3 linked regions of the Rhinolophus ferrumequinum genome follow. Each later gene encodes a partner of the first gene's protein in a complex. Links are inferred from orthologs where the notes say so. Each region holds a gene or a part of one and is shown in the gene's direction. Other genes may lie near its edges.

The links. Proteins that work in one complex are often made in the same cells at the same time.
Region 2: CUL7 (region 1) and CCDC8 share a complex: the UniProt entries of both Homo sapiens proteins name them as parts of the 3M complex. The link is inferred for Rhinolophus ferrumequinum from reciprocal best matches to the Homo sapiens genes CUL7 and CCDC8.
Region 3: CUL7 (region 1) and OBSL1 share a complex: the UniProt entries of both Homo sapiens proteins name them as parts of the 3M complex. The link is inferred for Rhinolophus ferrumequinum from reciprocal best matches to the Homo sapiens genes CUL7 and OBSL1.

Annotation. Positions count from the first base shown.
Region 1 is NC_046286.1:12,502,950-12,510,671, reverse strand, and holds the start of CUL7 (cullin-7), read left to right. Parts: upstream 1-4,698; 5' UTR 4,699-5,038; intron 5,039-5,909; 5' UTR 5,910-5,917; coding exon 5,918-6,497; intron 6,498-6,934; coding exon 6,935-7,086; intron 7,087-7,224; coding exon 7,225-7,722. Other genes in the region: MRPL2 (39S ribosomal protein L2, mitochondrial), read left to right, coding at 651-746, 1,869-2,037, 2,753-2,894, 3,008-3,123, 3,200-3,310, 3,625-3,698, 4,059-4,271. UniProt on the Homo sapiens protein: Core component of the 3M and Cul7-RING(FBXW8) complexes, which mediate the ubiquitination and subsequent proteasomal degradation of target proteins. Core component of the 3M complex, a complex required to regulate microtubule dynamics and genome integrity.
Region 2 is NC_046298.1:42,671,260-42,678,770, reverse strand, and holds CCDC8 (coiled-coil domain-containing protein 8), read left to right. Parts: upstream 1-4,442; 5' UTR 4,443-5,258; coding exon 5,259-6,500; 3' UTR 6,501-6,949; downstream 6,950-7,511. UniProt on the Homo sapiens protein: Core component of the 3M complex, a complex required to regulate microtubule dynamics and genome integrity. It is unclear how the 3M complex regulates microtubules, it could act by controlling the level of a microtubule stabilizer.
Region 3 is NC_046291.1:15,953,917-15,961,943, forward strand, and holds the start of OBSL1 (obscurin-like protein 1), read left to right. Parts: upstream 1-4,958; 5' UTR 4,959-5,494; coding exon 5,495-6,506; intron 6,507-8,009; coding exon 8,010-8,027. Other genes in the region: INHA (inhibin alpha chain), read right to left, coding at 1,985-2,817, 4,140-4,410. UniProt on the Homo sapiens protein: Core component of the 3M complex, a complex required to regulate microtubule dynamics and genome integrity. It is unclear how the 3M complex regulates microtubules, it could act by controlling the level of a microtubule stabilizer.

The DNA of each region.
Region 1 (7,722 bases):
GGGGCCCAGGGAGAGGATAGAGTGAGATGGGCGGGGACGACGGGGAAAAGCACAGGTGGACGACCGAGGTCGGCGTCACCGGCGAGGACCCAATGGCCCGACGATCCGGAGGTCACTGAATCAGTTGGTAGCGCAGGGGGCGGGGCAGGCGACTGTCTGTCTGTCTGGACGCCGAGGGGCGGGAAGAATCGCGGGGGGTGGAGTTTTTGAGTCTGGAGTTGTGTGAGGTTGGTCAGAGGGGTATGTTCATCTGTCTGAGATTGCGGGAATAAGAGGTAGCGGGACGTCAACCCTCAGCCTCAGAGGAACTCTCAAGACTCACCCGTCGTCTGTCGGTCTGGCTGCCGCCCTGCCGGTACTGCCCCTTTAAATCCATCATGGCCTCCGCTCGAGGCAATTGTTTTGACGGCTCCAAGAGGCGGGGCCTGTGCCCCAGTCACGCGACCTAAGAGCCGCCGAAGGATTGGCTCTGACAACGCGCAGGGAGGGAAGGAGGTGTGTATCCAGCTTGCTCTCGGGTTCTCCTCCCGCCTGCTTTTACGTCAGATGGGAGCGACGGAACCAGGAGTCGTTAGCGTCATCCTGGGGCGTCAGGCTGCTTACCTAAAGGCAATGGTGGCGTGTTGAACACGGCGTAACCACTCACCCCCATGGCCCTGCGGGCACTGACCCGCTCTCTGGCCTCCCTGAGCCTGGCGCCCCCTGCCGCCGCTGCCCCCGGCCCAAGCCTGCTCCCGGGTGCCCAGGTAATCCACTTTACCCGGGAATGAGGTTGCTTCCGTGCGGGCCGCCGGAGAGGGGACAACTGCAGATAGGCGGGTATGCGAGTCTGGTCAGGAGTCATGCTGGCCCGTGACCTTGGATAGTCACTCTTAACCTCAGCTTTCCCTGTGAGTGTTGCTTTCACAGGGCTGCTGGATCCCGCAGATTAGATACTGGACGTGAAAGTGCTTTACAGACCACCGGTTGTACAGGTTTCAGTAATAATTGACATTTATTGGGTACCTATCATAAGGCAGGCATAAGTAATAGAGGTTTTAAACAACTGAACTCTTTTCAACCACTCTATAAGGTAGTTATTATCATTCCCTTCTGCATATGAGAAAACTGATAAGCAGTCCAAGGTCACACAACAACTATTGGAGCTAGGCAGCCTGGCTTCAAAGCTGGAGCTCTTAACCATTATAACCATTAGGGATGCTGAGATTAGAGAATGCAGGGCAAGATACCAAGAATAGGAGGAGCCTGAAGTGAACGTATCACAAGATCCCTAGTGGGTGATTGGTGAGTCACAGAAAAGAAATTGTAAGTCTTGCTTCTCTGGATCTCTCAGGCTGATAAAAAGTTTGGCAGAAGCACACTTAAAATTCAAAACCTACTCTGAAATTCTGGGAATACAGCAGGGAACAAGATAGAAATGATTCCTTCCCTCCCTTCATATCTGAAAAACTCCCAGAAACACAATGCAAATGGGCAAAAGGCTTTAGTGCTGATGGTGGTACTTGGATGTGTGGAAGTTACCAGCTTTGGAAAAGGAAGTTCTTTAAGGAACGAGAAGTTTCCAGGAGAATGGGAGGTTTGAGACAGATTTAGTAGATGGCACCAGGGGAGAACATCCCATTGAAGAAATACATCAGAGGTGAAAGGATCAAATGAGAAGAGGTAATCAACACATACATATCCGGATAAACATTCCACACTGGTATTTGTGCAAGCTGTGAAGGGTGGAGTTTTTGGACAGCTGGTCTGGAACGCTTCAGAGGAAGTGAGTAGGCTACAACCCAACTATGGTCTCTGCCCTCTCCCTTGGCTCTCTGATGCTTCTCCTCCAATTAGCTTTCACATGAAAGATTTCTGTTTATCTCTAGGTGACAAACAATGTCCTCCTTCAGCTGCCCTCTGCCTCGATATTGCTCCCCTGCCGCCCCATCCTTACCTCTGTGGCCCTTAGTGCCAAGTTTGTGTCCTGGAAGAGTCGTACCAAGTACACCATTACACCAGTGAAGATGAGGAAGTCTGGGGGCCGAGACCACACAGGTAGGAGCAAGGGCAAGAGGATTTAAGCAGTGAAAGGAAAAAACATGGTAGGACCCTAGGCCTGGATATTGATACAGGCAGAGGAATGTAATCAAAATGCTCCTTCTGCATGTAGTGTGTGTGTAAGTGCGAGAGAGTAGAATACAAAGCAACAGACAAGTGATCTGTTCTCCTAAAGACAATCTAGGAATTGGAGAAAACTGGACATACACAGTAAGTTTCATGACATTTTTTTTTTTTTAACTTTTATGTAAGTGTGTTTTTCCAGGACCCATCAGCTCTAAGTCAAATAGTTGTTTCAGTCTCATTGTGGAGGGCACAGCTCACAGTGGCCCATGTGGGGATCGAACTGGCAACCTTGTTAAAAGCACTGCACTCTAAGCAACTGAGCTAACTGGCCGCCCCAACGTTTTTCTTCCTATCCTTCAAAAATTTTTAATAGTTGAAATTGAGCACTATTTACACGGCCCTCAGTAAACTTACTGAATTCAGTAATTTGTAGAGAATTTATCTGGAAATCTAACGCTGTTTCAATAATCATACAATTATGTTTTTATCAAGGTCCATGTAAGTGTTTCCCCATCCCCGTTTACCCCATTGTGCTAGCAAATTTTATCATTTTCTGCTTGTGTCATAATGTTGGGAAACTGCTCTCTACCCAGGACAGGCCTGTTCGGCTGACCTGGATCATGTACCCTCACTGTCCTGACCACAGGCCGAATCCAGGTGCATGGTATTGGCGGGGGCCACAAGCAACGTTATCGCATGATTGACTTTCTTCGGTTCCGGCCTGAGCAGGAAACCAAGCCAGGACCCTTTGAGGAGAAGGTCATCGTTGTCCGCTATGATCCCTGTAGGCAAGTGTGGGGTGTGGGATGATGATGGCATGGCTGAATGATTGCTTTGTAGCTTTTCCAAAGATGTGGGGCTGCCTTAGATTGTCTGTTCACCTGTCTATCACCCTGAACAGGTCAGCAGACATAGCTCTGGTTGCTGGGGGCAGCCGGAAACGCTGGATCATTGCCACAGAAAACATGCAGGCTGGAGATATAATCCTGAACTCTGACCACATAGGCCGAATGGCAGGTGAGAGATGGCCGCCACATGTGTGTGGGCTGGGAGACTGCAGGTGTTCTGGTGCTGATAAAATTCTGTCTTTTAGTTGCTCCTCGGGAAGGGGATGCACATCCTCTTGGGGCCTTGCCCGTGGGGACCCTCATCAACAACGTGGAGAGTGAGCCAGGCCGTGGGGCCCAGTATATTCGTGCGGCAGGTAGGAGGAAAGGAGCTGCTTTGAGTCTTACAACTTGGAAGGCTAGAGGTTACCTGAGGTCACAGTTCTCTGAACCCATGGGCCCACATCTGGTCCAGTGGCAGAGAAAAAGGGAAAAAAAAACAAAAAACAAGGAAAATGAGAATGAAGAGGAGCTTGTGTTTTGACCTAAAACATTGCATGTATCCCGCTTCAATGTATCTGCTACTAAAGGGCAAAGCAAGGGTAGTATGTGGGGTGTGGCCTCCTGTAAATCTGCTCCCCACCTCCTCCTTTGTTGTGGATGGCAAAGCTGCAGCTTCTCCCTTCCCCAGGGACATGTGGTGTACTGCTACGGAAGGTGAATGGGACAGCCATCATCCAGCTGCCCTCCAAGAGGCAGATGCAGGTGTGTGTGTGGGGGGTGGAAGGTACAAGTGGGACGGAGGAATTTTCGGAATGTACCTTTCATGGCTGGCTGGGATAGCTCCCAGGTGTTTTGTATTAGGAACTGCCCCCAGGCTGGGTCTGTCCTTTCCTGCTGCGCCACAAGGCATGCCTCATCAGGCTGGCACCATAACAGAGTAGGAAACGGTGTCTTTCATTTTCAACTCTTGTAGGCCCTGACTTCGGCTTCGATTATGTTGTGCTTTTCTCCTGCCCTCTCCCTTCTCTCATTGACTGTAAGAACCCTCCCAAGAGCCTGCCCTCAATATTGTCAGGCTCTTCCCCCAACGGTGCATTCTCCTCCATCTGCTTTCTCTGTCAGGTGCTGGAAACGTGTGTAGCAACAGTCGGCCGCGTATCCAACGTTGAGCACAACAAACGGGTCATCGGCAAGGCTGGGCGCAACCGCTGGCTGGGCAAGAGGCCTTCCAGCGGGTTATGGCAACGCAAGGGGGGTTGGGCTGGCCGAAAGATTCGGCCCCTGCCCCCCATGAAGAGTTACGTGAAGCTGCCCTCAGCTGCTGCCCAACGCTGATAAAACTGACTAATAAAATGACCCCCCATTTTTATCTGTTACTGTTTTTTGGGGAGGGGAGACAGTACATACTGGATCCGGGGAAACAGGAGCAAACAAATGTGGGGTTAGGAAAAAAGGAAAGGGCAAATTGGGACCAAGACTAGGGCTGCAAAACCCCCCCCCCCATTTCCCGCTGCCCACCTTCTCTCGGTTCTTTTATAAGTAATGGAGGAGGGTGGAATACATGACCTCCAAACTCTTTTCCAGTTCTGACTTGGGAAACAGGGAAAGCACTTCCGGTGGCAGGAGGGAGGACGAAAAGGAAGAGGAAAGGGAGGCGCGGAGGAGGTGCCGCGCATCGCCGAGGTGGCACCCGCGGCTCCGCCCCGGTGCTCCCCCCAGGGCCCCTAGCTTTCCGCTGGGTCCGGCGGAAAAGAGCCGCGGCTCTGGACCGGCATCGGAGCCTCTAGAGCTGGGCGGGCGGCGCCGCGGGCTGGGAGCAGCCCCGCCCTCCCCTGCCCCTGCGACCGCCACCTGCGCGCTGGCTCTGTCAGTGGCCCGGCCCCCGGGCGCCTGGTCCCTGCGGGCCACGCCTCCTGCCCGTCTTGCCCCCTACCCGCCTGCCAGTGCTGCAGAGGCACGCCCCCTCCCGCCTCTTCTCCTGGACCCCCTTCCGGGGCCCAGGCGGGGCCCAAATCTCCGCAAGCTTCGCCGCCATCGTCTGCGCTCCGTCCCTAGCTCAGCGAAGGACAGGCCTCGCGCCAGGACCCCCATCGACTTCTAAGGTGGCCAGAGCCCCGCCGCGGCCCCCTGCTCCTACCCTGGGTTTTCCTCCACCCACTAGCCCACCAAGCCTCGCTCCACAGCCGACCTTGCGTCCCCGCATTCCACTGTGCCTCGGGATTCTCATTTATCCGGTTCAGCCACCCATCCCACCCTTGCCGCGTCCCCACTCCCGTACCTCCCACCCCGACTTCTTGGGTCCGCGACCCGGGTCCACCAGGCCTCGCGCCCCTCACCTATCGGGTCTCCTACCCACCCTGTCCCAGGCCTCGCGTCGCCCCCGCCGGCCTTGCTGCCCCAGTGCTTTCAGTCATCAGCCCCTGCAGCCCATCGGTCCCTCCCAGGCCATCGCGCCTTCTTGAGCCCTCACTCCACTACCACTTCTCTGGGTCTCTTTCCTCTGAGACTCACACTCCTCTTCCCCCAGCGCTTCATGCATTGGGGCTTGTACCCCTTCCCATACACACCCGGGTATCGCTCTTTTGCTCCCCTCAACACACCACCGGCTCTGGGCTGCTCATACCCCCTGCCCAGGGCTGCTGTCCCATCCCAGGGATTTGCTTGTTACTCCAAGGCTCCTCTGCCCTCACTGTCCCCTTCCCACTGCTCCAAACCAACCCACTTCAGGCTGCAGGGCCTTGGACCTTCCTTTTAGCCCCCAAATTTTGTGTTCTCTCAGAACAAACACCCCAGTGTTCCTCTGCTTAGGCCTGGCCCCACCCAGCCTGCAGCAGGCAACTCCTGGGCCCTGCTTTAACCCCACCCAGCCCAATAGCTGGTGCCACATTTGCTTCTCCACTCCTGGACGTCCTTGATTTTCTGACCTCCCTTCTCACTCTAGCTTGCCTGTTCTCTTTTCCCCATGTGTCCTAGGTGCCAGGATGGTGGGGGAACTCCGCTACAGGGAATTCAGAGTGCCCCTGGGGCCTGGCTTGCACGCCTATCCCGATGAGCTGGTCCGACAGCGGGTGGGCCACGATGGGCATCCTGAGTACCAGATCCGCTGGCTCATTCTCAGGCGCGGGGAGGACGGGGAAGGGGGCTCCAGCCAGGTGGACTGCAAGGCTGAACACATCCTGCTCTGGATGTCCAACGATGAGATCTATGCCAACTGCCACAAGATGCTGGGCGAGGATGGCCAGGTTATCAGGCCTTCCCAGGAGACTGCAGGGGAAGCTGGGACCCTGGACAAATCTGTGCTGGGGGAGATGGAAACTGATGTGAAGTCCCTGATTCAGAGGGCCCTTCGGCAGCTAGAGGAGTGTGTGGGTACCATCCCTCCGGCTCCTCTGCTTCACACTGTCCATGTGCTCAGCGCCTATGCCAGCATCGAGCCCCTCACTGGGGTCTTCAAAGACCCAAGGGTCCTGGACTTGCTTATGCATATGTTAAGTAGTCCCGATTATCAGATTCGATGGAGTGCAGGCCGGATGATACAAGCCCTGGCCTCCCATGATGCTGGTGAGCAGTGTGGGGAGGGCGGGGAGCTGGAAAGGGGCGGTGTGGGCTCAGGCCTTGCTGCAGCAGGAGCCTCTGATCTCATCAGTCCGTAAATGATTCTGCTGCCTTTTTAGCATTGGAAGAAAAGGAGGTGGGAAAGTCGGTGTGGTCATCTCTGCAGAAAGAGGAAAGACTCAGTCTCCAAAAACCTCATTGTAATTGACTTTCTATGCAAAGAAAAAGTTTAGACTTTACACTACTGCACTGTGTATATATATACACATATATATGTATATATATTCGTTCACTTATATGAAAAAGATAGTAAGGTTTGGCTTTTCAAGTAAATCATGTCATTCCTAGTGTGTCGTGACCAAATAATTGAACTGAGAGAGTAGGGGATCTAAGAGAGATGCCTGGGATTAGGGAGCAGTTACTGATTGGGGTGTGGGTTACAGGCACCCGGACCCAGATCCTTCTGTCACTGAGCCAGCAAGAGGCCATTGAGAAACACCTGGATTTTGACAGCCGCTGTGCTCTGCTGGCTCTGTTTGCACAGGCCACACTCTCTGAACATCCCATGTCTTTCGAGGGCATTCAGCTGCCACAGGTATTCTGTTGGGGGCATTGGGGGTGGGGCTATGAAGATCTGGGGACCAGATCTTTCCTCTTGTCCATAGAGGATGGTGTGGAGAGAGGGGCTAAACCTGGGACACAATGGACATTGGCCAAAGGTTGTGTCCTGCAGGTCCCAGGAAGGCTGCTCTTCTCCCTGGTAAAGCGCTATTTGCATGTCACCTCCCTCCTGGATCAGCTGAATGACAGTGCTGCAGAACTAGGAGCCCAGAACAGCTCTGCTGCTGAGGAGCTGAGTGGGGAGAGGGGTCGGCTGGAGCTGGAGTTCAGCATGGCCATGGGCACCCTGATCTCAGAGCTGGTGCAGGCCATGCGCTGGGACTGGGCCTCAAGCAGACAAGGGCCCTCGGCTCAGTCCTCCTGCTCCATCTTCCAGCCCCAGGCGGCAGATGCAGGCCCAGGGCTGCCACCCGCCCAGGCCCTGCCCTCCTTCAGGAGGTCAAGGCGGTTTCGCCCTCGCCCTGAGTTCGCAAGTGGCAACACCTATGCCTTGTATGTCCGGGATACGCTGCAGCCTGGCATGCGAGTGCGCATGCTCGATGACTTCGAGGAGATCAGTGCCGGGGACGAGGGCGAGTTCCGGCAGAGCAACAACGGCGTGCCCCCAGTG
Region 2 (7,511 bases), on another chromosome or scaffold:
CATGTGCAGACATTCTCCACGTGCTGACAAAAGGCTGTTTTGGAACCTGGGATGCCAGATGACAAACCAGTGAACACATTAAAGTAATGCCCCTCAGGGGATATTACCTAACTTGAGCCCTGGCATCAGGGCACAGGATAAAGAGGGTGTCATTGCTGCTTCCTGCTGTATTTGTTGAGGACCTACTATGTGCTATCATTTAACCCTTTGGTATCTGGTTCACAGGTGTGGATAAATTATATCCTGTTTATCGTAGACAGGGACCTGATTTCCGGACGTTCAAGATGGAGGACAAATCTGGTGACTGTGCCAAGGTTACAAGTGTCATCTGGGAGAGAAGTCTTTCGGGATTTCTCACCAATCTTATTCCCCACCTCAAATCTGCCAGGCAACTGGGCAAATAATGGAGGCTTAAGAGCGTCGGGGTTGACCAATATCACCCCGACAAATTAAAAAAAAAAAGAGTGTGGCGGTTGGAATCTAAGGAACCTGAGTGAGTCAGAGCTCAGCTCTGCCACTTCCTAGCTGTATGGCCTTCTTTGGCTTCAGTTTTTCTCATCTGGAAAATGGGAATAACACTTGCATAGGAGAGGTTCTGAGGATTAAAAGAGAAAACACACAGGGCCAGGGACAAAGTGGGTGCTCAATAAAACAGAATAATAATCAGTATTATCACTTTCCCACCTTGTGGGCATATGTGATGGAAAACTGAGATGGATATGCATATACTGATATGAAAGACTTCAAGACATGCTATTAAGTGCAAAAAAAGCAAGTTTTATAGTAATAGATCTAGCATCATTCATTCATTCATCAAATATTTTGAGCACCTGTTAGGACTGTTCTAGATACTGAGAATTCAGTAGTGAACAAACCAGGTAACTATCTCTGCCTTTATGGGACTAATGTTCTAATAGGGTGAGACAATAAATAAATAAGAAAATACCAGGCAGTGGTACGCGCTGTGATGAAAACAATTTAGGATGATGTGAAAAACCCCCCATGGGGTAAATTCTAAAATTACACATACGCTAAAGTAAGCATTTTTTTCCCCCTGGAAAAGTACAGAGATATTTAACTGCGATCACTTTGGGGGAGAGGCTGGAGGCTTGGGGCTGGGGCTGGGTTGCTTTTCATTTTACACCTCTCTGTAACTCCAGCATTTTCTTAGCATGTGTGTGTGTGTCACTTTTAATATTACTATTGTTATTTTTAACGGCAACCAAGTGAAACTGGGTAGAGAGATTTGGGCCATATTTTGTTTTCTCCCCCTATTTTCTGATTTTTCATTTCTTTTAAATAAATATAAAAGTGGAAGCTATAATTATCCTTTTGTGTGTGTGGGGGGGGAGGGGGGTGGCTGGAGAAGGATCTTGCCTGCCAGAGACCTGGGCAAGTTAAAACACCCACAGTGAATTGCTCAGAGGTTGGCAATTTCTGTAAGAATGTTGAACATATGAGGTTTTCATTTCTAGGATAACCCTCCCTTCCTTCCAACCAAAGACAGAAACAGCCCAAATGTCTCAACTTCGAGGTCATTATTTTGACTTCTCAGATTTGGGATTTTCAGCTTTGGGCCTCTACGAAGCACATTCTAAGAGAAGGTGACTTGGGGCATCAGACTTAAGGAAGGGATAAGAAGCGGGAAAGAGGCGCTGCCCTGCCCCCACCCCTTCCCCCCCTCCCCGGCCCGCCCCACTCTACCCTCTCAGAGCCAACCCGCGCTTTGGAACGCGTCTCCTCGTTGCCATGGAGACCGCTGGGAGGCTGGGCGAGAAACGGAGCAAAAGGGAGGAGCTGGGTGGCGCGAGGCCCGGCTTGGGCAGAGGCCTCGGATGGGGCTGGCGAGGAGGAGCAGAAAATCCAGCAAAGCAAAGCCAACCGAGTGAGCCAACAATTGTGCAAAGGCCTCGCTAAGACCCTGACCTCCCTCCATTCCCCAAGCGTCTTCCTTCCTCTTTCCCTTCCCTTCCTTTAATCGCCCCCTTTCCTCTTTTTCTAAACATCTGCCTGGTTCCTTCAGGAGTTAAATAAAACCACATATCTTGAGTTAAATAAAATTACACGTATTCATTTTTGTTGTATCTCCTCGCTCGCGGGCGGTGAAAGAATTCACAAGTCAGATAGAAATATAGATTTATTAAAGTAAGAGGAGGGTCGCGTCAGCTGGAAACTACTGCAAACTACTGCATTGAGTCCTTGTTTGGTCTCAAGTTTTGTATTTACTAACCAGGCTGTAAATTGTTTCGGTCTGTAATTGGGGGTGGGGGAAGGTGCTGTAAAGTTGGTTATGGCAACCTTTCCATACGTTATGTAGATTTAAGTTGGAGCCAGAAGAGTGGATCCCATACAGATGAAAAACTTCCCAAGTCACAGGGCCTGCACTGGGCCGAAGTAAATAGAAACAAAAGAGAATCGTTAAGAGGCAAAGAAAAGAAAGCTTTCAAAACTTCTCAAGCTAAATTGCCCTTATTAATTTGAATTACACCGGAGGTCCAAATCTCAAAAATAGAAGATTTAGTGTCCCCTGTCTTAACAATTTTTATACTTTGTATTAAAGTCATTATTTTACAGGCTTCTTTACTTTTTTTTTTTGACTGTTGGAATTTTTCTTTTGACAGCTGTATTTCATTATAATTGGTTTCCTTTGTAATCCAATGGATGCAAATCTATGCTTTGAAACACTTTATGCTGGAAAGGGACCATGGCATGGTTAAGGATTCCTAAGCTATAGGGCCCTGGAGAGGGTTGGGGAGGGGGGAGACAGAATCACTTCTCTAAAAAACGTGCCATTTGAGCAGAGGGAGATTGCCAGAGAAGGTGGGAGCAGAGCATTCTGGGTGGAGGGAACAGCAAGTGCAAAGGCCCTGAGGTTGGGGGCAAACATTGTTGGAGGAACAGTGAAAAAGCAGCAGGTGTGGTTGGAGTGGAATAGAGAGAGGGACGTGGGGAGAACTGATAGGGCTTCGTGGGCTGAGGTGAGGACTTAGATTTTACTCCTAGGTAAGGATTTTAGAAAGAGTACAGATAGATCTGACTTACGTTTTTAAAAGATCCCTCCAGCTGCCAGTTGGGGATGGATTGCAGGCTGCAAAGGGAAAGCAGGCCGCCCAGTGAAGAGGTGTTTTTTGTGGATCCAGGCAAGCGATAAAGATCAGCTGTGTCTTCCGAGCCTGCCTGGATGGTTACTCCAGTGCCTAAGTTCAAATATCAGCCCCTCTACTTACAGCTGTGCAACTTCAGACCAGACTCAGTGTCCCCATTTGTAAGAAGATGATAGTGAAGGCATGCACCTTACCCTATAGCTTTTGAGCATTCATAACAACAGGCTATTCAGGGTACCTGGTTCCAAGGAAACCTTTTGTGCAAGTTAACAATTATTATTACTAATGCCATTGTTATTATTGTGCATATTGGTGCTGACATGGCTGCCTCAGTAGTACCTGGGGAGCTTTGCAAATCCTGGCCCCTGAATCCCAGGAAACCACTATGTCTGTGGCCGAGTTTGAGGCCCTTTGGTTTAATTTCATTTGTTTTAATTAACATTTTGGATTGCCAAAAAGCCATGCAATCCAAAAGGATATACAGTGAAAAGGACACATCTCTGCCACATGTTGGAGTCCCCAGTCCCCCTCCTCAGAAACAGCTACGGTTGGCAGAGCTTGTACATGTGCTGAGTACATGTATACACACACACACACACACACACACACACACACACACACACACACCAGGTCAGGCTGTTTCAGATTCAAATCCAGATTCAATCATTTCCTTGCTGTGTGACTTTTATTTTCTCAGCTACAAAATGGGAATGATTGTATTACCTGTCTCATAATGTTATGGTGAAGATTTCATGAGTTGATTCATAGAAAGCACTTACAGTGGTGCCTACGCACATAGGAAGTGCTCTATAAAAGTTAACTATCCTTTTTTCATAGCTGCTCAGTGTTTCACTGTAAGAATAGACCATAAAATTAAGTCAGTCCCTGCCGAACAATTAGGTTCATTCATTCACTTCACTCAAAAATATTTGTTGAGCACCTACTGTGTGCCAAGCCCCACTGGTACAGCTGGTGAATTAAGATCCTGGTACCACTTTTCCCACCCCTATTTATGGGTATATAGGGAGGAATTGCTGGTACCAGAAGTCACATAAATTTAGAATGGTACTATACGGTGTCAGTGGCTTTCCAAAGGACGGCCCCATTAGCACACCCACCTCTGGGCGTGGCTGGAACCCGCACATTTAGGATGGTAGGTTTGGGAATTGCTGCCTTATTCGGAGAAGGTGCTGACGTGGGCCTCGGCGCGCTTTCAGCTTGGAGGCGGTGGCCCCAGCCAGGCCCGGGGCGCGGCCACACCCCCGTGAGGGAGGGGAGTGAGGGCGACCCAAAAGGAGTGGACAGCCCCGCTGTCAGTCTTCTCGAGTCTGGGAGTGTAAAATGAGAAGGGGAAAGGTGGGCCTCACCCTGGGGGAGGACGAGAAGGAACTTCCCTCCCTGGAGCTCCACAGCAGCGCGCGCGCGGGCAGGGAGGCGGGAGGCGCGTCAAGGTCAGCCTGGACGGGGGTGGCAGCCTGCCGAGGGGCGGGAGACCCTCCGGAGGGGCTGGGCTGCTCCTCCTAGCGCCTCGGCCATATTGAATAGCCGCGGCTGAGCTGTCTTTGTCTGCGAAGTCCTCTCCCAAGTTCCAGGCGCGTCCCTCGTGCCTGGGGCAGGAAGAGCCCGGGTCAGCCCGTGCGCCCCAACTTGGAGCTGGGACACCACTTTTGGAGCTTGCTGTGGGCTTTGAGCCTCAGGACTGACCTCACCCCGGCTCACGTAAGCATCCTGGCAATTGATTTCCACCAGTCCTTAAGAGGGGACTCTGCCTTGATCCAGAGAGGACTTGTTGCAAGCAGAGAAATTGGGAGGTGTTGGCTCATCTTCGGCTGGGGAGGTGAGACTCTCCGGGCAGTGCTGCTGGGACCTCCCACCTCCACTTCGACCCCCAAGACTAGGGGCTTCGTGTAGTTTGGGCTTGTTGCTCCCACCCCAGATTTCACCCTGGAGATCTTAAAGACCCTCGAGAAAAGCCACGTGGGGGGCTGGTTCCCCTGGGGCTTCCTCCCGTCGCCCGACTGCCTGATCCTCTGGAGCGTCCCCGACGTCTGCAAAGATGTGGATTTGGACGTCCTCGTGGAAGCCTTGAAGCCTGTGGGAACCTTTAAGAAGATCGGCAAGGTGTTCCGCAGGGAGGAGGACTCCACGGTGGGGATGCTGCAGATTGGGGAGGACGTAGACTATTTGCTCATCCCCCGGGAGGTCAGGCTGGCTGGGGGCGTCTGGAGGGTCATCTCCAAGCCTGCCACCAAGGAGGCGGAATTTCGGGAGCGGCTGACCCAATTTTTGGAGGAAGAAGGCCGCACCCTGGAGGACGTGGCCCGCATCATTGAGAAGAGCACCCCTCACCCGCCCCAGCCCCCCAAAAAACCCAAGGAGCCCCGAGTGAGGAGGAGAGTCCAGCAGATGGTGACCCCTCCTCCCCGGCTGGTTGTGGGCACTTATGACAGCAGCAACGCCAGCGATAGCGAGTTCAGCGACTTCGAGACCTCCAGAGAGAAGAGTAACAAGGGCCACAAAGGCTCAGGGCGTGGCAGGAAGGTACGCAAAATGCCCGTAAGTTACCTGGGCAGCAAATTCCTGGGGAGCGACCTGGAGAGCGAGGATGACGAGGAACTGGTGGAGGCCTTTCTTCGCCGTGGGGAGAAGAAACCCAGTGCGCCGCCGGCCCGCCGCCGCGTGAACCTGCCGGTCCCCATGTTTGAGGACAACCCGGGGCCCCAGCCATCTAAGGCGGACAGGTGGCGAGAGTATGTTAGCCAGGTTTCCTGGGGGAAGCTGAAGCAGAGGGTGAAGGGTTGGACCCCGAGGTCCAGCCCAGGAGTAGGCGAGGCCCAGCAGGCCTCTACCAGGGTGGAGAGAGATGGGGTGCCAGGAAGTGCCAGCTGGGGGGATAATATGGGGAATGCAGGAGATGGGCCAGAGCCTGAGGCCCCTCCAAGACGATGGAGGCCCAAGATCAACTGGGCCTCATTTAGGAGGCACAGGACGGTGGAAGCAGCATCTGCAGTTCAGGGGACAGAGGCTGCAGGTAATCAGAGAGAAGAGGCTGCAGATGACCAGAGGGCAGAGGCCATAGCTGACCCGGGGGCAGAGGCTGCACATAATGAGAGGGCAGAGGCCCCGGCTGTCCAGGAAGCTGAAGCCTTAGCTGCCTCGGGGGCCACAGGAGCCACCCCAGGAGTTAGGGCCCGAAAACAGGTGAAGACAGTGAGGTTCCAGACCCCTGGGCGCTTCTCGTGGTTTCGCAAGCGCCGGAGAGCCTTTTGGCACACTCCCCGGGTGCCAACCCTGCCCAAGAGAGTCCCCAGGGCAGCCGAAGCCAGGAGCCTCAGGGTGCTGAGGGCCGAGGCCAGAGCAGAAGCAGAGCAGGGCGAACAAGAGGACCTGCTGTGAGGTGCTGGCAGGGAAGCCAGAGCACCCGCCGCCACCCACTAACTTATTGGCCACTCAGGACGCATCCCTCCCTCTCCTGCCCTTGGACGGAGATGATCTTTCTGCCTCCACACCTGAAATGGGAGGTCGAGTGAAGGCCAGGCAGTGCCCCTCACCTGTCTACCTAGCACCCCTTTTCATGTTAAAATTTTATCTGTCATGCATTGATTTTTAAAAGTCTTTCTAGTAACCCAAGGAATGTAAAGAAGGAAATCTGTACAATGGGGTTGTGTTAATTTCCTCAAAAGCAACTCCAGGTGCTCAGCTTGAAAAAGGGAGCGAGGGCAGGGAGAAATGCCTCTCTTCCCCTTTCTCATCTCCCTTTCTCCTGCACACTTCACATTGACTGCCTCCTTGAATTTACAAAGAGGGCACAAGCCAACATGCAAATAAAAATGTTTACAAACTTATTTCTTGGCTTTGGACTTGGCAGCGGAAGAATGCTCCAGGGTGATTCTGTCACGTCCTTGTGTCCCCTCCATGACCTGTGTTTATGTCAGTTTGCTTGCCATCCCCACACCCTTGGGTTCTGCCAGGTCCGAGGGTCCAGGGCCTGCAGTTTATACACTTCATACGTTTTACAAGGGACAAAAGAATCATCTGGAAAATGTGTCTAAATGCAGAGTCTGGGACCCTTCATGCCAGAGCTGTGAGTAGCACTGGCTGTGCCCCACCATCAGGGGCAGCTTGGCCACTGGACACAGTGAAAAATCATTGCAATAGGAACAGGCCAAAAGGGGGATTGTGGTGTAGTAATGTGGAGTGGGTTGTGACTGGTTCTTACAATCGGGGAGAAATCGGGTTGCTAAGGCCCTGTGGGAGCTGGAGAACATCTCCGCATTGTTTGTGTCCCCACCCCACCCCCACCAGTGACAAAACAGATAGCAAACGACCACACCCCAACCTCACTGGAGGCCGGAGAAAAGGGAATTGTGGAGGAGGGGCTCTGAAGGTCAGCTCTGTCCTGATTGG
Region 3 (8,027 bases), on another chromosome or scaffold:
TCCTAAGCCTGGTAGGAGGATTAAAGATCCCAGGGAAAGGCCCCACTCGGGCAGGGAGGACCTGACAAGGGAAGGAAGCCACAGGACAGAGCGGCATTCGGGCAGGCTTGAGGGAAACATCCATTCCCAGCACTGGCCGACCCCGCAGCCCTCTCCCCAGACTACCATCTGAGGGGCTGCCACACTGGGTCTAATGAAGGTGCTGGCAGAGACTTGGAACTGTGAGAGGCAAGTCCCCCTCCAGAGCCGCAGAAGCCTCCTTGGGGATTTAGCATCAACGGAGACTGGGGCTACGGCATGGACGTGGCCATGGGCTCTTGTGCTGCAGGGAACAGTAGCTCACTCAGCTCAGCTCAGGCAAGGGAAGGTGTGAGCCTATAGGATGCCCAGATGGGATTCTCTCCCCTCCACATCTCCTTCCTGGGGAGGTGCTTACCTGCCCACCCCATGAGCTGGGTTAGTAGGAGGGAGTCTTTGATGAGTCACTCTGTTAGCAGAAATACACACTGCAGTGGTGCAGTCAGTATCAGAAAACGCTCTTGAATTTCCATCTGAGGGACCTAAACATCCCCAACCTTCCGCGTCACACCTACCTGAGAGCCAGGACCTGGGGCAGGACAGCAGGATCACACGACTGAGGGAGAAGGAGGAGAGTGAAAAAAGGAGGAAGGAAGGCTCAGGAAGCGGGGCTCCCAATGGCCAATCAAGGCAGGCAGAATGGACTGATAGGAGACCCAACGGGAAAAGGTTCCTTGCACCCTGCCGTGCACTCCGCGTGTACACAAAGTGTGGACACAGATTCACCCAAGAGCACACTTTTTTCGCCAGTAGGCTCTGCCTTTCCATGCTTCCAACGTTAAGGACTGAGTCAAGGGGTTATCTAAAGACACACAGGGCACATCAAAGGAGCCAAAGACTTCAAGAACCCAGATTGCAGCACAACCAGGCTTCAGGAAGGGCTACATGATAGGTTTGAGGGAGTCCCAGGCCCTCAGCAAATTAAAATCCTCAGGTCTTCGTTCTTCTGTCTCATCTCTGCAGTTGTCAACTTTCAGATACTGCCAACTCACACCATCTCTCCTTTACATGCCACCCAAGTTCCTGAGACACCCAAGATCTGATCAGCTCTGAACATCTGTCTCAGTGGGACCCTAAGCCATGATCTCTGGCCGGTCTAAGAATCACCTGACCTTGAGCTAGGTATCCATCAGCTAAGGCATAGAATGGCAGGGGAGGGGCTTCTGTGTAGGCACTATAAGTACAGCAGTTGCCTTTAGGTGTAGCAGGGCAGGCACCCTGATTGACATATCAGGTCCAGCTGGCATGAGGGCCAGTTCTGTCTCCAGAGTGGCTGTCAGGAGCTAGCAGCACCTTTGCGTCACCAAGCATTGTAGCTTTCCACCAGATATGCATCCAATTCCAGCTCTTTTATTTATTTTTTATTTTTTAAAATAGTGAGTCCAGTTTGTTTTTGTCTTCTTTTGCTTTTAATTTTATTGGGGAATATTGGGGAACAGCGTGTTTCTCCAGGGCCCACCAGCTCCAAGTCGTTGTCCTTCAATCTAGTTGTGGAGGGCGCAGCCCACCAGCCCATGTGGGAATCGAACCAGCAACTCTGTTGTTCAGAGCTCGCGCTCTAACCAGTTGAGCCATCCGGCTGCCCCCTCCAGCTATATCTCAAACCCCAGATCTCTGAGGTCAAGTGAGGCTGAGTGCCCAAAGATTCCGCAGTCCCATGCTCCTGGGGCCAGGTCCTCCCCTCCACCACCCACCACCGCCATATCAGAGAAGCCGAGGACGCATGCCAAGTCATATGCACTGGGTTGTTTATTGTCACACTGCTTATGGGACAGGGGTAAGAGGGGGAGGGGAGCCCTCAGACAGACAAGTGGAAGAAGGGGGGAAATGGGAAACATCTATTTTCCAAATTCTGTTCTTCCTCCCAGCATGTGCTGGTAGGGGCTCGGCCACCAGCAGGACTCCCTTAGATGCAAGCACAGTGCTGCGTGAGAAGGTTGGGCACCGTCTCATACTTGAAAGAGTAGCCTCCATCCGAGGTGGTGCGGACACGGAGGGACCTCATGGTTCCCGGGAGAGCAGCACAGCAGGGCTGGGCCCCTGGCACCAGAGAAAGGAGCTGGACAGGGGTAGGGGGAACCCCAGGGAGCGGGAGAGGCCCGTCTGGTTGGGTGGGTGGCCCACAGCCACCGTGACAATAGTGGAAGATGAAACTGGGAGGGTGCACGATCCACTGTTCCCAGCCCAGCTCCTGGAAGGAGATGTTGAGGGCCGCCCGGTGGCAGTGGGCATGGGCAGCGGGCTCCTCTGGAGGCCTCTGCAGCAGGCGCAGCGCGGCGGGAGACCAAGGCCCGGGCAGCGGGGGAGCCGAGCGTCGGGCTCGTTCCCTTCTGCTAGGCGGCTTAGCCCGTGTGTGGGCCACCAGGAAGGGTGTGGTCTCAGGCTTGGCTGAGCAGGAACAGAGAGGACAGCGCAGCAGTAGTACCAGGACAGGTTGGGTCAGCAGAGGGAGGGCAGAGGCAGCCAGGTTTAGCACAGCCCAGCTAGGAGGTGCCTGGCCCAATGACACAGGCACCGCTATGGGACCCCCAGATGACAGAGCCAGAAGGTCTAGCAGGGGCCCAGAGCTATTGGAGGCTGCTGTGCCCTGCCTGTCCAGTCCCATGTGAAACCATAGCTGGGCGGAAGTCACCTGGCGACTGCGTGTGTGATGGGATGGCCGGAACATGTATGTGAAGAGGCCCTCCTCAGCCTCCTGGGCCAGCTCTCCCGCCGCTGGCTGGTCCTCACAGCTGGCACCTGCAGGAGACAGAGGGAAGGGAGAGGGCAGCCGTGACTGGAGAGACGCAGCTGCCATTCACGAGCCTGCCAAAACTCCACTGAGTGCTCTGCCAGACTCAGGACTCCCCCCAGTCTTGGGAGAACTGACAGAGGCTCCTCTTTTGTTATTTCATCACAAAAGGACTTAAAAAGTACAAGACATTGCCAACTTCTCTCGAGTGGTTTTACCAATTAATATACCCATCAGCAATGTGTAAGAAGCCCTGACACTCTATCTTCACCAACACTTGGAATCGTTAGTTATACTTAAATTTTTTGTTCATCTTAAAGTGTGAAAGGGCACCTTGAATGGCACGTAGGCAGGCATTTGTAGGATTACTCTTCATATCTTTTTACATGTCAGTAATAGTATATTACAAAATTTTTAAATAACTCCACTTTAATAAGATAGGTTAACACCAAAAAGGAGGAGGAGAAAAGACATAGCTGAGAATAAAGGACAGTGCTTTCTAAGAAAGTGCAGTTGGCATCCTTACCCTGACAGGTATACAAACTACACTAAACAATCATGGATCAGCACCAGGTGAAGGTCTGGCAATTGGGGCTATACTGCTACATGGATTATCTCATGGATAACTTCACAACGAGCGACCCATTTTGTAGATAAGGAAACTGAGGGTTAGAAAGGTGAAGTGACATTGAACTACGAAGTGTCCATGCCGGGATTCCACCTGATCCCAAAGCCACACTTACTTACTGTGCAGCAGGGGGACTGAAGCACAGGGAGGCAGGGGTCCTCTCTAAGAGAAAGGTGGGCCAGATTACAAGAAAGTCCAGCCAGAGGAGGCCTTTTCTCATTGAGTCAGTGGAACATGGGGAGGTGAGAAAGGAACTCAAGAGAAGGTAGACTAGTTTCCCAGAAAAGTTTCCCAACAAATCTCTCTCCTGCATCTCTGTTATTTCTCAAGTCTCAGCTACTTGGGGCTAAAGAAAGGACCAGAACAGGGAGCAGGGGCAGAAATAGGAGGAAAGTGGCAGGAAGAGACCACGCCCAGATATCGCTGACTCCAGAGACCCTTAGCCTCCCAGGAGAATATCTCCCAGCTACCTCATATGAGCCATGCACTCTAAGTGCAGCATCTCCCGAAATCCTGAGCGATAGACATTATTGCCCATTTTATAGATGAGGAAACAGCGGCTCAGGTAGGTTCAGTCATTGGCCCATTGTTGCAAAGCCAGTTGAATAGCAGGTCTGGGATTCAAACCCAGATCTGCCTGCCTTCCAAGCCCATGCTGTCCCACACTGCTTCTCAAAGTCACCAGTTCCCCATCCTCATTACCTGTGGCCGGGAAAAGGATGGCCTGGGAGACATCCTCCTCCTCGGGCTCAGAGCCCCTGCGCATGGAGCCCCCCACAGCATGTCTTCGGGGCAAACGCCTGACTCCAAGATCTCTACTTTCACGAGTCACTGCTGGGGACCCCAAGGCATCCAGGAACAGGGCCCTCACTTTTGCCAAGACAAGTTCCCGGTCCACCTCCGGCCCATGGCAGCTATGCCCCCGCTGTGGGGCCACCAGCAAGAGGAGTAGCAGTGGCAGCCGGGGCAACATAGCTCACCTGCCCCTGACAATGGCGAACCCACAGCCTGCCCTGTGCCCCTCTGTCAGGGTCTGCCCGGGACCTCCCCCACTCTCCCTTCCCCATCCCACCACCTGCCTTCTTCTACCCTTCTCATCCCAGTCTTCCCCAGGCCTTCCCACACCCTGCAGTCCAAGTTGCCCCTGCCGTGGCATTGAGGCCTCCTATCTCTGACGCAGATGTCTGTGACCCTGAGCCTTATCTCCCACTCCCGCCAGGAATGTGGGGGAGGGGGCTGGTGAGGGTTTTTCACCCCAAGTGACCTCTCACATACAACCCCTTCCCCCTACACACACACACACACACACACACACACACACACACAGTCACATCCCAGCACCCAGCACAGAAGTGACATCAGGTGGAACAGGAGGCTGGGAGCTGTGGCCTGCCAGCTCTTAAAAGTGTTATTTGCTAAGGTGACAAAACACACCAGCCCCTCAGACCTTCTGGGGCCCCTTTCAGACAAACAGCTGCTGGGCCAGTCATGGGGGGAAGGGCTGAGGCTGGAGCTAGAACTGGGGTTAGTGCGGGGGGCAGGTGGTCCCGCCTGCTCTAAACTTAGCCTGGAGGAGCCAGTCTGGGCTCTTGTCTTCCAGCTGTGTCATCAGAGAATATTTTTGGGATTGGCAGCTGCAGGCGCCTCTGCCACTCAGGCCCTAGCCTGGCGGGAGGTTGGGGACCTGGCGGCTGGAGGTGGTAGGGAGGAGGGGAAAGAGGCCCAGGCTGTGGGAGGGGGCTGGGAAGAGAGGCTTTCAGGAGCAGGAAGCCAGGCCGCGGGCAGAGGAGGCCGCGGGGCCCCTCGCTGTAAAGGCAAACAGGAAGGACTGCCCCCTGAGCTCTGGGCTCCGGGCCCAGGAATCGCCGCCGCCGCCGCAGAGCTGCCCCTCCGGGTCGACGGTAAGGAGGCGACCCGGGAGCGGGCAGCCAGAGGGAGAGCTCCCCGGATCCCCAGGCCGGGTCCCCAGACGCGCCCCGCCTCCCGGGCTCCAGGCCTCCGCGCGCCCGCCGCCCGCCCTTCCCCGGCGCAGCTGCGGGTCGTTTGCGGCCGCCGCGATGAAGGCGGGATCGGGCGATCAGGGGAGCCCCCCGTGCTTCCTGCGCTTCCCGCGGCCCGTGCGGGTGGTAAGTGGCGCGGAAGCTGAGCTCAAGTGCGTCGTCCTGGGGGAACCACCGCCCATTGTCGTGTGGGAGAAGGGCGGGCAGCAGCTGGCGGCCTCGGAGCGCCTCAGCTTCCCGGCCGACGGCGCCGAGCACTGCCTGCTGCTGAGCGTCGCGCTGCCCACCGACGCGGGGGTCTACGTGTGCCGCGCCCGCAACGCGGCGGGGGAGGCCTACGCTGCGGCCGCCGTCACCGTGCTGGAGCCGCCGGCCCCCGAGCCGGAGCCCCAGCCCGCCGAGCGCCCGCTGCCGCCGCCCGGGACTGGGGAGGGCGCCCCGGTGTTCCTCTCGGGGCCCCGGTCGCAGTGGGTGTTGCGGGGAGCGGAGGTGATGCTGACGTGCCAGGTGGGGGGCCTCCCCGTGCCCACGCTGTACTGGGAGAAGGATGGGATGGCGCTGGACGAAGTGTGGGACAGCAGCCACTTCGCGCTGGAGCCGGGCCGCGCCGAGGACGGCAGGGGCGCGAGCCTGGCTCTACGCATCCTGGCGGCGCGGCTGCCCGACTCTGGCGTCTACGTGTGCCACGCCCGCAATGCCCACGGCCACGCGCAGGCGGGCGCGCTGCTCCAGGTGCAGCAGCCTCCCGAGAGCCCGCCCCCGGACCCCGATGAGGCCCCCAAGCCTGTGGTGGAGCCGGTCAAGTGCGCGCCCAAGACCTTTTGGGTGAACGAGGGCAAGCACGCCAAGTTCCGCTGCTACGTGATGGGCAAGCCGGAGCCTGAGATCGAATGGCACTGGGAGGGCCGCCCTCTGCTCCCCGACCGCCGCCGTCTGATGTACCGCGACCGCGACGGCGGCTTCGTGCTTAAGGTGCTCTACTGCCAGGCCAAGGACCGCGGGCTCTACGTGTGCGCCGCGCGCAACTCGGCGGGCCAGACGCTCAGCGCTGTGCAGCTGCACGTCAAAGGTACGGCGGCACCTCCTCCCAAGCCCTCCTAACTCCAGCCCCCTTCGGTGCCCAGTGCTGCCCTAAAGACGTTTTGGGGAGGGGAAGCGGAGTACCAAAATCCCATTTCCTGCCTGCCTCCCGCCCCCAGGGATTCGGATTTAGTAAGTCTCCACGGTACCCAGGAGCTTCTTAGCAAACTCCCCAAGTGATTCTGAGGCTCATGGTGGAAACCTCCCTTTGATTAAAGGCTTTAAGAAGTGATTGATGGACAAACCGAGAAGAGCCTAGAACTCTTCTAGTCCAGTGGTTTTCAACCTTTGTTATTTTACTTCCCCTCCCCCAATAGAAATCCCATCTGTGCCCCCAATATATAAGAAAGAGAAAAGGATCATTTTATGGCAGTAAATTTCTAAGTCCAGATTTATAACGTGTACTTAGAAAGCCAATCAATGAGAACAAGGAGGCTGTTTTATTGAATATACACATTTTAAGTGAAGGCTGCGTTCATCACCTGGTCTGTGGGAAGGCCTGGCTGCAAGTAGTCACATTGAGAAACTCTTGATTCATAGTAAAGGTAAATTTGAGGGATAAAAACTGCTCTGTGAATTTTGACTATTCTTCCATTAGGCTGCTCTCCCCAGCTTTGCAAGAAGAAGGTGAAGGAGAAGAAATTTATATTTCAAAGTTGAGTCACCTCAACAATATCTAATAAATGCTCATAAACAGAAAACAGGGGAGAGCACCCCAAACTCATCCTGGAGGATAAAGCTCTCCATAATAGGAATTCATCACAACCTGCAGGATTATATCTTTCGTAGTTATTGCCCAACGTTTTCCCGCAGAGGAAAAAAAGTTGGCAGCTCTCCTGAGCCCTGCCTGGCAAGCATTCAAGCATGTGGCACCTGTGCCATGGTGGTGGCCTCATGGGTATGGTGACATGCATACACTGGCCAGGCAGGCTGAACTCTTAACTCCATCAAGAGGGGAAAAAAGCCCAGTGGCAAGGCAGACCTTCCCGGAGCTGCACAACAAACGCACTTCTCAGCAGCCCAGGTGAACCTACTGGTCGTTTCCAGCATCATGCTTTTTTTTTTTTTTTTTTTTTTTTTTTCAAAAAATAAATGCTTAAAGTACTTTAAAGAGAAAATGCAACTCAGAACCTTGCAGAATTTGTGCAGTGCCTCTGAGGGACCACAGGGAGCATTTTGAAAATCACTGATGTGGTCCAAGGCCTTTCTACCCCTTTCCCCATTTTACAGGTATGGAAACTGAGGCCCAAGATCACTAAAATGGCCTTGCTGGAGGTGATGTGGCTAGTGAGTGTCAGGGTCAGATGAGAATTTAGACCATCTGATGTTCCTTTCTGGTGGTTTTTGTTTTTCTATGATTCCACAATGTCTTCGTGCGCCAGGAGAAAAGCAAACGGCCTGAGCTAATGTGGGTGTAGGCAGTTGATGCTAGGAGGAGTCTTCCTAGTCTGGCCCTCTCCAGAGCCTTCTCTGGTCTCTCCCCTCTCCACAGAGCCCCGCCTCCGCTTCT